2 linked regions of the Rhinolophus ferrumequinum genome follow. The protein of the gene in region 1 interacts with the protein of each later gene in a biochemical or structural test. Links are inferred from orthologs where the notes say so. Each region holds a gene or a part of one and is shown on either strand. Other genes may lie near its edges.

Region 1 (7,972 bases):
TCATAGGATCAGACCCAATGACATTTTAATTCAGGCTTTGGCATTTCCGGAGATTATTAAGCATGTTGTATTTAAGATGAAGAAAAGGAAGGTGAACTTCTAAATCAGAACCCACCACAGAGGAGACATTATTTAGAGATCAAATTAAATTTCAGTAAGCACTTGAGAAGGTACTAAACGAAGGGCATACTTACTGGTGAATTTTCTGAGGTCTTTCTAGCTCAGTCTTTCATTGTTACATGTATAAAGTGCTTGTGGTAATCTGAACCACTGGATAAACTGACAAGACAGAGAGTTAAGTTTCTTTCAAGAAACAAACAATGTAGGGAGAAAAATAAGAGCAATGACACTTCTGGTTTATCAATAGCACCATTAACTAAGACGTGAATGTCATCAGTAAATTCCACCGAGTCTTAAACCTTAATGTAAATAGTTTTTCTAAGGCATCTGGGAAATATAGAGCATAAACGTTCAAATTATGCCAAAGACTAATTAAAATAGATACACCACCATAAATGTAATTGGATTAAACCATAGTACCCATTTGAGAGGATTGGTTTTAAGGATCAGTCTCACCCTTTAATACTTTTCTACGGCCATAAAATATAAGTGGATATCTCCCCTGTCCAATTCAGCGAGTCCCTGAAACTGAAATGAATAGATGCACTGAGAGGTCATTATGTTACATGACATGTCTTCTTTAAAAGCCCTGGCTATTTAACACTTGATAAAATGCCAAATTCCAAGTACCTGCATCCATTGTGACATACTCTGTTTACTATATAGCCTTTTGAAGTTGGCAACTCAACATGTATCTAACTCCATAGAGTTATATATTACATATGGGTGCTTTCTGATAAATCACAGGCAAGAACATGTCAGTTTTGCATCTAAAGGAAATAACATTTGATGTTAGCATCTTATCTTTAGCATGACTTTGACAAATCAGATAAATTAAGACATGATGACTCTCTTTACGTTACTGCATTTGATGTATAAAGACTCCTGCCTTAGCTGTATCATTCTCCAAACTCTAGTTTGGGGATGTTTCTTTACGTATCTCCATAAACATTTTTTCTTGTAGGCACATTTTGTACCCTTATGAAGTATCTCTGTTGTTTTTAAATTTTTACCAAAACTAGTAGGGTGCAAGCATTTGAGAGAGAGTTTTAAAAATTCTATTTGTACAAACACATCACAGTGGAAACGCAAGAAGATATGAATTTGACTCATTATATATATGTGTGTATATATATATACATATATATATACACACATATATATGTATATATATATGTTGTAAGAAATTTGTACAATGAGCATCAACATAATTAAAAGTTCCCAAGTTTCTTTTTTTTATCTCCAGGTTTTCAGAATTATGCTTGCAAGCTGACAGTATTTTTTGATGTGACAAGATCAAGATCTTAAATTCTTGAATATATTATGAAAACTAAATTTACGAAACACAGACTGTCACTACATTAGAGCAGATTATTTGCGTCAAACTCATTGCAGAAAAGAAACATCTCTAAAACTCAGATTACTCTGTAAAAGCCACATAGCCATATTATTGAAGCAAAGAATTATAATTTTGAATTGTTGTGTTGTTGCCACCACATGACTTTTCAACTCTCAATTTTCATCCATCACAGCAGCATTTCTGGCATTTAGACCTAATACTCATGTATTTCAATACCACAGAAATGAATTCTAAATTATTTATTAGTCAACGCTCAGAAGCTGTAAATGGGATATATTACAATTAGACATCAAAACACCATGGAGAATTAGAATTGAAATACAAGTTTATAAAGATCCTTATTCAAGAAGATTAAAAATAATTTTTAATTTTGTAAATGTAGATCAGACATAACTGTCAGTTCCCCGATTTTAGGGCACCTCGTAAACTCAGTGATCTCTGTGGTCACTGCTTTCTCTCCGCACCCTGAGGCATTTCTGGGCATTTTAAATCTATGACAAGTGTAAACCTCACTGAAACTTAAAGGACTGATAAGAACAAGGAAAATTCTAGTTCTCTGCTATTTAGAAGCTAATTGACAAATGTCTTCAGATGGATATACTATTTTATTCGACAGGTATCACTGCTCTAACTGACAGCAAATAAAGAGTTCCCTTAATTTAATAACAAAATTATAAACATGCATCAGAGGAAAGCATTTCAACTTCCTTGTACAAACAACACCTAAGAGTAATCACAGATAACTGTCTGGAAATCTGTATCAGGAGCATTAATCATCAGTATCAACTTTAACATGAACAAGTATTTCTTCCAAATAAGCTAGCCTTCCCTATTCTGAAAGAACAAAAAAGCAGTTACTTGAAAACAACTCCGACAGAACCACCTACTACATTTAGCCACATACTACATTGGCTTGCAAGATAAATGTGTGAATGGCTCATTAAAAAATGGTAACATAATCAATTAATCGCACCTGAAATACTCATCATGTGTATAGACCTCCTAGTTATATTGTCTAGATGCTATCTGATGGCTATTCTTGCAACAAATCATCAAAATGCAGCATTCAGTACTTACAGACTGCTTACCAACAATACCATCTGGAAACCTTTTGCATTTAAGATTAAAGCTCCACACAAGGTTTATTGTTAGCCCCAGCAAGAGAGAAGGAACCGGAGGGTGGAGGGGAGCGCTTACTTCGAAAATGCTCCGAAGCGTAATAATAGACATCCTCATAGCCCTCGTGGTAATCCTCTTCTGGTCGGTACTTTTTCCCCTTTCTTCTCCTAGATCTTCTTATTTGCTTGACGAAACCCAGGAAGCGGTCCATCTCTCCCTGCCGGTGCAGCCTGGCTCAGCTCAGCTGCTGGGGGAACTGGTGGAGCATGAATGGCCAACACCGAACCTGGGGCTGGGAAGCGCTACCCTTCCATCTGCCTGTGCTACCATCAGCGCGGAGATTTTAGCCATGGGAGGGGGTAAAAATAAGAGCGATATGGGTTTGTCTTGACCAGATTTCTTATTTTGTGCAGTACACTGTCCAAATGTGCAATTTAAAAAGAAAAGAGAGAGAGAGAGAGTAAAATGAAAAGAAAGACTAAGAGAAAAAATAAACAGCGAAGCTTTGGGCTTCAAACAGCTTCCAAACAAAACAGAACAAAGTTCAACAAGAGATTCAGCTGAGGGGGGAGAAGTCCCAGCACTAGAATTTCACTATCCAACATCTCCATCGTCAGGGGCGCGGGTGCAGAAGAGAGGGGCGGGGAAATGTACTAGTAAATGGACTGAACCAAAGCTAGAGACCCAACGGACTTTTTCGTACCTGCTAATCCCACCCCCTCCTCTAGCACCCGTGGAAGCAAAGTGCAGTGCTTGGGGGAGCTTCTTGGAAAGCTGTTGTTTTGCAATGGGCGGACGGATTAACCCTTTGTGCTCTGTGGCGCATATCGTACTAATGAGCGCAAAGTGGTTTCATCCATACGCACTGCCTCTTACTGACAAAAGTGTGCGGTATGTGTTAATTGGAGCAGCAGGGAGAAGGCTCAGCAGCTGCTTTCAAATGACACATTTACCCACTGGGCATTAATGTATTCCAACCACTTTTTGATCTAAATATTAAAATGCGCTTCACAGAGTGGCTTCCCCATAGGCTGAGTAACAGCATACCACAATCAGCAAATAAAGGAAACTGCGTGGTGTTTGGGAACAGAAATACAAATAATCCAATTCTGCTTACAGCGAACTCAAATAAAAATCTAGCTGAGTTGTTACATTTTTTTTAAAAAAAATAGGAAAACAAACAGGCTAAAGAGCAAATAAAACTTAGTTCTTGGTGAAGATGGAGGGAGGGAGAGACGTTTCTAAAAATCCTCACACCCTCTTCATCCTTTGTCTCTAAAATCAGAACTTCTTTTTTTTTTTTTTTTTTTAAAAGTACTACAATCAGAAATACTTCAGACTAGACCAAAGAGGTACTCCAAAATCCAGACAGGTCAGCGTTAATCGTGGATAATCTTTTCCTCTCTAGCTTCTTTCTTCAGGTCTTTAAATAGATACATTTTTTTTAACATCAGGAAAAATGGAATTTGTTTACACTATAATTAATCAAATATGTCAGCATATTACCTACTAAATTAATAATATGCTGCAACTCTATGGTCCCAGAAATGTACTTTATTTTAAAAGCTGCTTACTGTATGAGTCGTTCAATATCTATGTAATGTCAAGTTTATAGGACCATCCCAAAAAGAAGTGATTGCACTTAGCACTGTCTGTTAGATTCACAGGCAATTTGTCTCTTTTGTAGATTTAGGCATTTCTCTATTTGCAGGTATTAATTACTAATGCTGGAGTAGGGAGACATTTACTTAAGAGATAAATATTTATCAACTAAGAACATTTCAGCTCTGAAATGTGTAAAGTTAGATTCAGTGAATTCGCCCTATTTCTATAGTCCCCCCTTTTTATGCCTTGCCAGTGAGTTTGTGAAGAGAAACACAAACTTAATGATATTGACAAAAAAATACTATAAAATGTCTTAAAAACATCTTTAAACAAAATTCACTTGTCCTTAGGTTCCAAATCTTTTCTTTATTATTCTGACTCCTTCAACCAAAATAAACTAGAACATCTGGAAGTTCTAGTTGAAGATCTGGAGTCTAGTCCTTGAATAGGTCACTAAAAAAAATAATAATACGTAGCCTTTTCATTTAATTCTCCTAACAACCTTTATAATGAGGTGCTACCTCTATACATGAGAAAAGAAGGTTTAAAGATGTTTTAGTGGTTTGTCCAAGATCACAAAGGTAACATTGCCAAGTATGACCTACTACAGGTATTTTTTCATACAAATTCAGAGATTATCTTGCCTAAGAATTATTTGCATTCAGTGATTCATTGTTGTCTATGTGAGTTTGCAATTGAAATGGAGTTTAAAAATAATAGTTTTTAACTGGGCTAAGCATATATCCTGGTTTATGTGAGTAATATGTCCTCAGAGATTATGCAGGCAACAAATTTCACTCAAATTACCTCTGAATTACTACAGCTCCTAAATTAGTGGAGTCTACATTATTTAAATTTTATAGTTTTAAGCTCCGAATTTGATCTAAATGGAATGACACGATAGAACAGATGATGCTTGATTAGAGAGAAGATCATTTGTGTATAGACCAACTTAAAACATTCCACCACAGTTTACTGATTTGTAATTTCAGTATTCAAAGACCCTGAGAATTTCTCAACTAGTGATAAGCAACTATTTTGAATAAGAACTAATGCAAAGTAAAACTGTCCACATACAAAACTGTTTTCAAAAGTAAACAGAGATTATGCTTAAAGCACCTTTCTATTATTTTCCTAGTTTTGAAGAATTTTATTTGGGAGGTTAACATTTCACTATCTGATTATAATAACAACATTTTTATATAAGAGGACGTTTGGTAGTGCTAGGGAAGAGTTTAAAGTTCAGCCATGCACTTGGAGAGGTACAGGAGGGGAGGTAACAGCCATGTTAAAACAATCACAGATGGTTAGGAAGAGGGAATAAGGAATTTGATGTTTAGAGGAAGTCTGCTTGGGTCACAAAGAATGAAAGAATGTGGCCATGTCCCATGCAAGGGAGAGGAAGCATGTGTGTATGTGTCACAATCCAAAAGATAGAAGGCAAGACACTTGCTTCTCTGCCTGAGGCTTGGTGCAGGTGTGTTGGATCCTTTAATCAAACTTCCTGAGTTCACACCTCTGACTTTTTCCTGTCTTCTATCCTAAATCCTTAATGTTTGAGCAATGGAGCACCAATCTAAAATCTAAAATGACTTGTGGTTATACAACAGTTAGCTAATATCCCAATACTAATTGACAAATGAATAGAGTGAAGTTCAAGTCCATTCAGTTACGTTTACAACCATTTCTGTAGAGAACCGCCCTGTTTCCTCACAGCACAAACAGTGGTAAGTGGTGCTATTCACCAGTTATTGCACTCTTCAGTCTGAACAGATGGGCTAGTTGAGAGGTTGTAAGTGGCAGTTCACAGAACAAGTATCTCCCACAATTGTGTTTGGTTTGGCTCACATAAGTGTTGTTTTGTTTATTTGTTTCTTCCTTTTAAGCTGCACCAATATTAAAAGTCAGGAATTTCACAGATCAGACATTTGATTTTTTCTTAAAAAAAAAAAAATCAAAAGATCTGGCAACTCTGGGCCCAATTCCAATATGGCAACTACTGATCAGAGCTGAGTGGTGGCTGCCACCCATAAATAAACATGCACTTTCCACTTAGCCACAGCCCCCTCCCCTGGGTCCCATTCTCTCATTCAATTACCACCTGCCCCCTGAAGGCATTTATGCTTGTAAACCATGGTTGAGGTACTGTCCTGATGAGCCAGTTCCAAAACACTAATTTCTTTAAGAGAAATTTCAGTTCCCTTATATTTTCATGTAAAGAAAACAAATTATTATGACAAATCAGTTTTAGTTGTGCTCAATGTTCACTAAACTATAAAATTAAATTTCTTAGAAAAAAATTGTTCATATGACAAAATAAAGCAAGTTGAATTATTCAACAAAATGTGTTTCAATAAAGAATAGCAAATACTAAAAAAAATGAAAAGAAAAGCGAATTCTTTTTTTTTTTCTAGGAAGTAAGCAATTTCCTGAATAGCACTTACATGGATTCCATACGCTTCTGAATTCGATTCTCCATCCCCTTTTAGGAAAAGAGAAATAGACCAACTACTGAGCTTAAATCTCCAATTTACAACCTTCCCTAGATCACTGAGTCAGTAGGACTCGTATGTGCATATTTAGATTAAGTAATAGTTACCGTAGTTTCTGAGTAGCAGAATGGAACACAGTTTACTAGAAAACTCTTTGAGATATTGGATCAATCGGACCTTATTTAGATGCCACAGTGTTTGCTTGTGATACCAAGAGCAGCGACACTGACATACTGAGGGTGGCAGAGTATGAAGGGAAAACACTGGATCCTGACGGACAATTAGAGCATTCTTCATCCGGTCAGACCCAACACCACTTGACTGTGGCAAAGGATTTGTAATACCCCCCTTTACTAGCCTAACTGAAATTCATGGATCATGTGACCCAGGTACATATAAGTTAAACATAAAATTCCTTAATAAAATACATATTTAAGTGTATTTCAATAATATGTATTAAATTGGTAAATCTGTGGCTACAACCATACCAGATGATATAGTTAGATCCTTGCACCTACTTCTAAGAAGCAATTTCAAATTTCAGAGATGATCAGGAGCCTTTCCATACAATAGAGACAAAATAAAAAGGTAGAGTCACAGGCGGACAATGCAGTAAAAATTAGTATCTTCATTTATATTAAAACTGTGAAAAATATCTCAAGTCAAAAGAATGAAAAGAAGTCACAGACGAGGAGAAAAGATTTGCAAAAGTCACATCTGATAAACGCCTGTTGCCCAAAATATACAAAGAACAAAATATAGAAATACTAAAAGAATGCTTAAAACTCAACAATAAGAAAACAAACCCACCTGATTAAAAAAATGGGCTGAAGACACTTTAACAGACACTTCACTAAAAGAGATAGACAAATGGCAAATAAGCATGTGAAAAGATGCTCCACATCATATGTCATCAGGGAAATGCAAATGAAAACAACAATGATACACACCTATTAGAACGGCCAAAATCTTCAACGCTGACCACATCAAATGCTGGCAAGGATGGAGAGCAACAGGAATTTTCCTTCATTGCTGTTGGGATGCAACATAGTACAGCAACTTTGGATGACAGTTGGTTTCTTACAAAACTAAACATATTGTTACCATACAATTCATTAACTAAGCTCCTTGGTATTTACGGAAAGATTTTGAAAACTTACGTCCACACAAAAATCTGCACTCGGATGTTTCTAACAGCTTTACTCATAATTGCCAAAACTTGGAAGCAACCAAGATGTCCTTCAGTAGGTGAATGGGTAAATAAACTGCGATACAT
Region 2 (7,038 bases), on another chromosome or scaffold:
TCAGAACCCTTGCCAACACTCGAGGTTGCCTCTGTGAGCCTCTCATATGTGAGCCACTGGGAGATTCACGCAGGTGTCCTGGCCAATCCCCCTCCTCACCCAAACACAGATTCGAATCCCAGGGGGTGTCCTGGAAGCACAAGCAGCTAGCAGGACCCCACCTCATGAGAGACAAGCGAGCAGAACTGGGCTCCTGACGCCTTCTCACCTGGCCAAAGCATTCAGGTCCCAGAAGGGTCCAGGTGGGAAAATTGAGACCAGGGAAGGAATAAGTTCATCCCACAAGAAGGCCTAACGCTCCCAGCAGCCGGTTCACCCACAAGTCCTCCCCAGCTGTCCCGTCCCCACACGTCCAGTGGCTGACCATGTCTGACCTTCTCCAGGGGACTGTTGGCCAGCACTCCACACCCTGCAGGCAGGCTCTCACATCCAGGAGCAGCATGCAGCCTACAGCCCAGCCCTGGGACTTTGCACTCCCCGACACCCTTCAGAGCAATGTGTTCTGTGCACCCACCCTCTCCAGGCCTGCTCAGGAACCAGTGCTGCCTCACCCTCAGCAATAACCCAGCCAACTTTGAGGCCATCGCCAGCCCATTATGGGAGCAGGTGCTACCTCCAAAGAAGTGTTCATTTATTGAGGAAACACACTGTGCCACACCCCCATTCTATCGATAAGGAAACTGAGGCACAAAGACACACGGCCACTGGAAGGGCACCAGTCTAGCCCACATAGTAGACCAATAAAAAATATACCCAAGCCCTATGCTCCAGAACCTATGAAGGTGACCTATTTGTTAAAGGGTCTTTGCAGATGTCATTAAGGATCTCGAGATAAAATCATCCTGGGTCTAGGGTGGATCCTTAATCCAAAGACAAGTGTCCTTATAGATAAAGACACAAAGAGAGAGGAGAGGCTGTATGAAGACAGAGGCAGAGATTGGAGTTCTGTTGCTATAAGCCAAGCAACACCTGGAGCCACAGAAGCTGGAAGAGGCAAGAAAGGGTCCCCTCCAGAGACTCTGGACAGAGCGTGGCCCTGCCAACACCTTGATTTTGAACTTTTGGCCAGGAACTATGAGAGAATACATTCCTGTTGTTTTAAGTCACCAAGTGTGTTATGTCAGCCCTGGGAAACTAATACAAGCAGGTTCAGCTGACTCCAGAACCCTGTTCTCAACCCCACACCAATGTTATGTGAGCATAAAAGGGAAGAAAATCTTTCAGACTCCTGGGACTCTATCATCCCAGACTAAGGATCTCAGTTTGAGAAACAGACTTTTTCTTGTTTTACAAACAATGTATCAGTTACGAATTACCTCGAAAAGAGAAGTGTTATCTTCATAGCATGTAACAATTCAAGATTATCAACAAAAGCAGAAAAATAAAAGCTCTCCTGGACAAAGATGTGAATACGGGAAACTGGGTATGGAGTAGATATATGGAACTCTGTGCTATCTTCTCAGTAATCCTATAAACTTTGAACTGTTTTAAAGTAAAAGAAAAGTTTAAGCTGGAGCTTAAGTGTCTGTCCTGAGCTCTGATGCCCACCTGGGACACCCTTCTTCCCTCTCCTCGTCTGGTCCAAAAGACCCAGCTCTGCCCCAGCAAAGACAGGTGCGGCATTGGGGAAACAGACCTAGCTCCTCTAGTTTGGGTTTTTCAAGTCAAGGCACGGGGAGAACCCTGTGTGAACCAACTGCTCCACAAACTTCTCTCACACCCCATTCCCGAAGTGTAAAACAAAAATCACACAGACCAATGCAAATTAAGGGACCCGAGTGACTTCCCAGCACATCAGTGCAAGAAACTCTGAGAAACAAGGCTGAATGAAACAGAATAGCAAAAAGTGAAGGAGGAATCAGGAATGGGAGAGAAGGGATAAGAAAGTGTAACAAGAGGAAGAAAAAGGATGAACTCGGGGTCCTTGGCAAACACATTTGTATTTTTTTTTCCCACTGAAATGTCAGTTTTGAAACTAGCTTCTGAAAACATACCCAGCTTCGCATATCCCCTAAAAGGAAGATCAGAGGACTGGTGGCGCGGGAGGAAACTGCTACCTCTTCGAAGCCCGGCAACATGAAGGAGCCCCACTGGTCCACGTTTTTACCAGGAGCACATCCAGGGGCTCGCACCACCCTCGCGTGGGCCCCTCTCCCCTTATCTAGAAGTTTCCCACTCAGGCTGTGCGCACACCAAGCCCTCTTAAAGGGTGAAACCTGTCCTCTATGTCGTCCCAGACTGGGCACCACTTTCCAACTGTCCTTAGCAGTCCAGGGGGGTCCCCTAAGATGGCCAGAGGCTGCCCACACGGCTCCCTCCAGCCCGCCAGGGTGGCCACACCCGCCCGCGAGACTCCTACCTCTCCCAGGGCCCCCTCCTTCCCATCCAGCCCTCACAACCCCGGCTTCCTCCGAATTCACCTTCCATTCTCGGCCCCCCACTTCCTGTCCACCCCCTCCCAATCTCAGGGCCCTCACTCCCCGATTTCCCGCTTCCCTCAGCACTCAGGGCACCTCACCTCTAGCCACCACGCACGCCCTCTTTTCTCCCTATGCCCCTTGACACGTTCCTCCACACCCCTCACTCAGGGCCCCCCACACCCGGCTCCCTGGGCACAGCCCCACGCACCCCACACCAGGCCCCCACGGCTTGGGGCCCCTTTACCCTCCGGACGCCGGCCCCTCACCCACTGCGTCCCTCCCACCCCGGGCCCCCCGCCCGGCCTCGTGCGCAGCCCCCGCGCGGCGCACGGCCCACGGCCAGGCTCCGGGACCCCGCACTCACGGCTGTAGAGGGCGATGCCCGCCGCGTCCGGGCCGGCGCGCACCTCGAGGCGCAGCGCCTGCTGCTCCGCGTGCCGCTGGATCTCGCCGTTCGCGTCGCCGATGGTGAGGAGGCGGGCGCCGGGGAACACGGACACGGCCGCGCAGGGCCCCGCGACGCCCGTGCCCGTCACCCCCACGACTCCCGTGCCCGGCCCCGCCGCCGCCGCCGCCGCCGCTGCCATCTTAGACCCGGCTCCAGGCCCCGCCGCCGCCACCGCCGCCGCGCCCGGGCCCAGGCCGCCGCCGCTGCCGCCGCCGCCGCCGCTGCCGCCGCCGCGCAGGCCGAGGCAGAGGCCGAGCCCCGCAGCGCCGCCTGCCGACTACGCGCCGCCTCGCTGATAGCGCCGACGGCCCGGGCCCGTGGCGCAGCGCCCTCTGCCGGCGGCCCTGGGCGCAGGGAGGGAGCACGCCGGGGGACGGGGCCAGCCCAGCCCCGCCCCGCCCCGCCCCGCGCGAACGGTCGCCGCTTTGTGAGGTGGCTCCGCGTCCCAGGAACGGCGGGGGCGGGATCGTGCGTCAGAGGGCGGTGCTCGGACGCACGGACACGCCCCTAGACCTGAGACCCGCCCCTAGTGCGGCGCGGCTGGAACGGCCGCCCTAGTAGGGCGGTGCGGGTGCGGAGGCCCAGGAGGGGCGGAGCGGGAGCGCGCCAGGGAGCGGTACTCGGCGGTGTGACACGCTCCGGGTCCCGCCTCGCGCAAACCGCAGCGCTTTGTGAGGCGGCTCCCCTGCCCCTGGAACAGCGGGGGCGAGCCTGAAGCCCAACAACTCCGACACGCCCCTGAAACTGGGCTCCGCCCCGTGGTCCTGCACGGCTTTGTGAGGCGGCTAGTTGAAGTGCGGAGTCCAGCTGCGATGGGGCCCCGCCCCTGTACCGGCCCTGCTCCCTCCCACTGGGCCTTGCTTTGCTTTGTAAAGCATCGGCGCCTGGGGAGAACCAGAGTGAGGGGCGGGGCCAGGGCCTGGGCCACGCCCCCAACTTGTGGCCTCCCCCACCCCTAGCCCACCCTGCTGGAAAAGCAGTTCCAGGTGGGACTTGGTCTCTACCCCGGACCTGAACCCCTTGGGAATGCTCCCTCCTGCGGCACTCCTTCTCTCTTCCCCATCATCTCCATTCCCGTCCCACAGCGCTCCTTTCTCCCATCCTTGGCCCTTCACTGCCTTCACTGTCTCCTCCCCCACAAAACATTCTTGGACCCCCTCCCTCTGAGCCCTTCACTTGGCCCCTTGCCTCCCCTAGTTAACTCTCCCCTCCCCCAATGATGGCTGGCTAGTTGGTCCACCAGAACATGGCCAAGTGACCCTTTTCATACACACACGTATACACACATCCATCTTCCCTCCAAGTACCCCCCTCCATTGCTCCAGGGCCCCATTCCCTTTTGGGGGAGCCAAAGAGGCTTGCGGACACTTTCCATCTCCTCAGCTTCCACCCTTCCCATACCTCCTCATTTACTACTACTCTTTTTTCCCATGTCCCTCTGCCTCCACACCCCATCATTCCACCTCCTGTATCCACCAGTGCTAGGACTTCAGCAGAGACTCTGTGGGGCACTGTCCCCTCCTTGTACCCCATGGGCCTCCCCACACACCACACTGCCTGCATGCAGTTGAGGGGTACTCCCCCCACCCACCAGCTTGAAGGATTCTACTCCGTAGAGGCCTTGGGAACAGCTCAACACGTGCTATAATTAATAACTTAGGCATGCCAGCAGGGCAGACACACAGAACACACCCTCAGGTACCCTATGTTCTAAAAACCCAGTTGGGTTGGCCAAGTCAGGTGTGGCAAGGGAAGAGGAAACCATAGGGCTGTGTGGAGAGCTCAGACCTCTTGTGGCCCAGCTGGGGGCCAGAAGGGATCCTAACATTTCCTTCCTTGGAGATCTGAGAAGCTGGGAATCCAAAGAGAAGCTTCCTGCGTGCTGTCCAGCCTCTGGGCTAATGCCTGCAGCCCCTCTCCCATTCCTGCTCCTCTGTGAGGAAGGTCCCAAGGCCAGGGGTCCCTTTGTCACTGTTCAGTTCCCTGAGAAAGCAGCAGCCAGAACCCCTCAAAGGAGTTGAAGGGACCTTGGGCCCCACGCAGCCCAGCCAGTTCAAATGAGAGAACGCGGAATGGAGGGCAGAGCACGCAGAGAGAGAGGGACCCAATCCTCAGCCTCACTGGCAAGCCCGGAAGGTGCTGAATTCAGGGGGCTCAGGCGAAGATGATGTGGAAGTGGGCCTCTTCCGGGGCCCAAAGTTGCCAGGAGTCGCAGTGGAGCCTGAGAGATCATCCAGGGTGGCTGCATCTCCTTCTGAAGTAATTTTCTTTGTCCATGGAAGAAAAGTAGAGAGAACCGGGTGATTTGGGGTTTCAGGGTCTAGAGTTTCCCCATGTTCTGAGCCTGAGACTCCCTAGTCCATCAGGTCTCATCTCATGCACATACACATACCCCACAGCTTCAGGGCGTTTATCTGCCTTCTGTCCTCCTGCCTTCCTCTCTGCTGAATAGGGGACCAGGCAGCCTGGGTTCAAATCCCAGGTCCAGCACTTCCTAATGGTCTGACCACAGTTGAGTGATCTAACTCCTCTGTGCCCAGTTTCACCTTTTGCACAATGGAGAGAACGCTAACACCCCCTCCTGGGGTTGCTATAAAGCATAAAGGAATCAAATAGATAAAGCACCTGGCCTATCATAAGCACTAAACGTTTGTTAAGTGAACCCAGTTATTACTGTTACCTCCAGCCCCTCCCGTTCTGGGCTTCCTCCACCTTGAAGGCTCCTTGTCCCAAATGCTAGTCAAAAAGAAGTTTGCTGAAACTGAAGCCACTCCCAGTCCTGCTGCTCCCTAGCTAGGTGACCACAGTACAGCCCATAGACAGCTTCAGTCACCTTGTTAAAAAAAAAAAGTCAGCCACACCCCATAGGGTGTGACAAAGTCAATATCAGTGCAGTAGCACAGGATAACCTGGAGTCCTAACAGCTGCTTCATTTTCATTTCAGCCAACAGCACAGCTTTCTAACACTTGTAAAAGAAACTAGAACTGAAAGCAAGGACTGGAACACATACTTGCAGACCCCTTTTCATAGCAGCATTATTCACAATAGCCAAAAGGTGGAAGCAACCCAAGTGTCCATCAGTGGGTGACTGGATAAACAAAATGTGGTGTATACATACAATGGAACACTATTCAGCCTTAAAAAGGAAGGAAATTCTGACTCGAGTTAAAACACGAATGAACCTTGAAGATGTTATGCTAAATGAAATAAGCCAGACACAAAAGGATAAACATTGTATGGCATTATTTCTCTATAAAATGTCCAAAAAAGGCAAATCCCCAGAGACAGAAAGTAGGGTGGTGGTTGCTAGGGGCTGAGGGGAGGTCAGATTGAGAAGTTAATGTATAGTGGTGACAGAGTTTCAGTTTTTCCAAGATGCAGCCTGGAGATGGATGGTGATGACGGTTGCACAACGTGAATGTGTTTAATGCCACAGAACTGCACACTTAAAAATGATTACAACGATACATTTTGTTATGTATATTTTCCACAATTCTAAAAAAGAAACTAGAAAAGATCACTAGAATTTACAACTAAGGAAAAGAAGCACCGTGCAGTGTGTCTAGCATGCTCCCATTTGTGTTGAAAAGGGTGAGCATACACATTTGTTATTTTCACCTTTGCTTGCATTTTCCAAGAAGCTCCTAACAATGGTTAGTTACTCTGTGTGGGTAGAGAGAGAGACCAGTGGGTGGAGAAGGGTTAAGTGATAGAAGAAAATACTACTGTATATATAACTTTGACATGTGGATGTATTTCCCAAAAAAATTTTAATTAAAAAAAAATATGGGCAGTCAGTTGCCTCAGTTGGTTAGAGCACAGTGCTCATAACACCAAGGTCGCCAGTTCGATTCCCACATGGGCCAGTGAACTGCACCCTCCACGACTAGATTGAAACAACTACTTGACTTGGAGCTGATGGGTCCGGGAAAAACACACTGTTCCTCAATAAATAAATATAAACATATTATTTATATATATACATATTATATAAAAATATTAAAAATATATATATATTTATATATTATATATATCAGAACAAAAACACTGAGAAATAAGTTGTTTTTCTGTTTTTCATTGTTTCATTTTAAATATATTTGTAAAAAAGGAAAAATCACCAGGCTAGTGCCTTAAGCCTCGTGGCTTCTCACGGAAAATTTTAGAACTTG

What was found. The genes of interacting proteins can lie anywhere in the genome.
Region 2: the proteins of GRIP1 (region 1) and CARM1 form a complex in vitro, tested with the Homo sapiens proteins (2 studies listed by BioGRID). The link is inferred for Rhinolophus ferrumequinum from reciprocal best matches to the Homo sapiens genes GRIP1 and CARM1.

Annotation. Positions count from the first base shown.
Region 1 is NC_046293.1:63,342,277-63,350,248, forward strand, and holds the start of GRIP1 (glutamate receptor-interacting protein 1), read right to left. Parts: upstream 3,021-7,972; 5' UTR 2,811-3,020; coding exon 2,678-2,810; intron 1-2,677. UniProt on the Homo sapiens protein: May play a role as a localized scaffold for the assembly of a multiprotein signaling complex and as mediator of the trafficking of its binding partners at specific subcellular location in neurons.
Region 2 is NC_046301.1:39,541,467-39,548,504, forward strand, and holds the start of CARM1 (histone-arginine methyltransferase CARM1), read right to left. Parts: upstream 3,021-7,038; 5' UTR 3,008-3,020; coding exon 2,785-3,007; intron 1-2,784. Other genes in the region: C18H19orf38 (protein HIDE1), read right to left, coding at 4,986-5,135. UniProt on the Homo sapiens protein: Methylates (mono- and asymmetric dimethylation) the guanidino nitrogens of arginyl residues in several proteins involved in DNA packaging, transcription regulation, pre-mRNA splicing, and mRNA stability.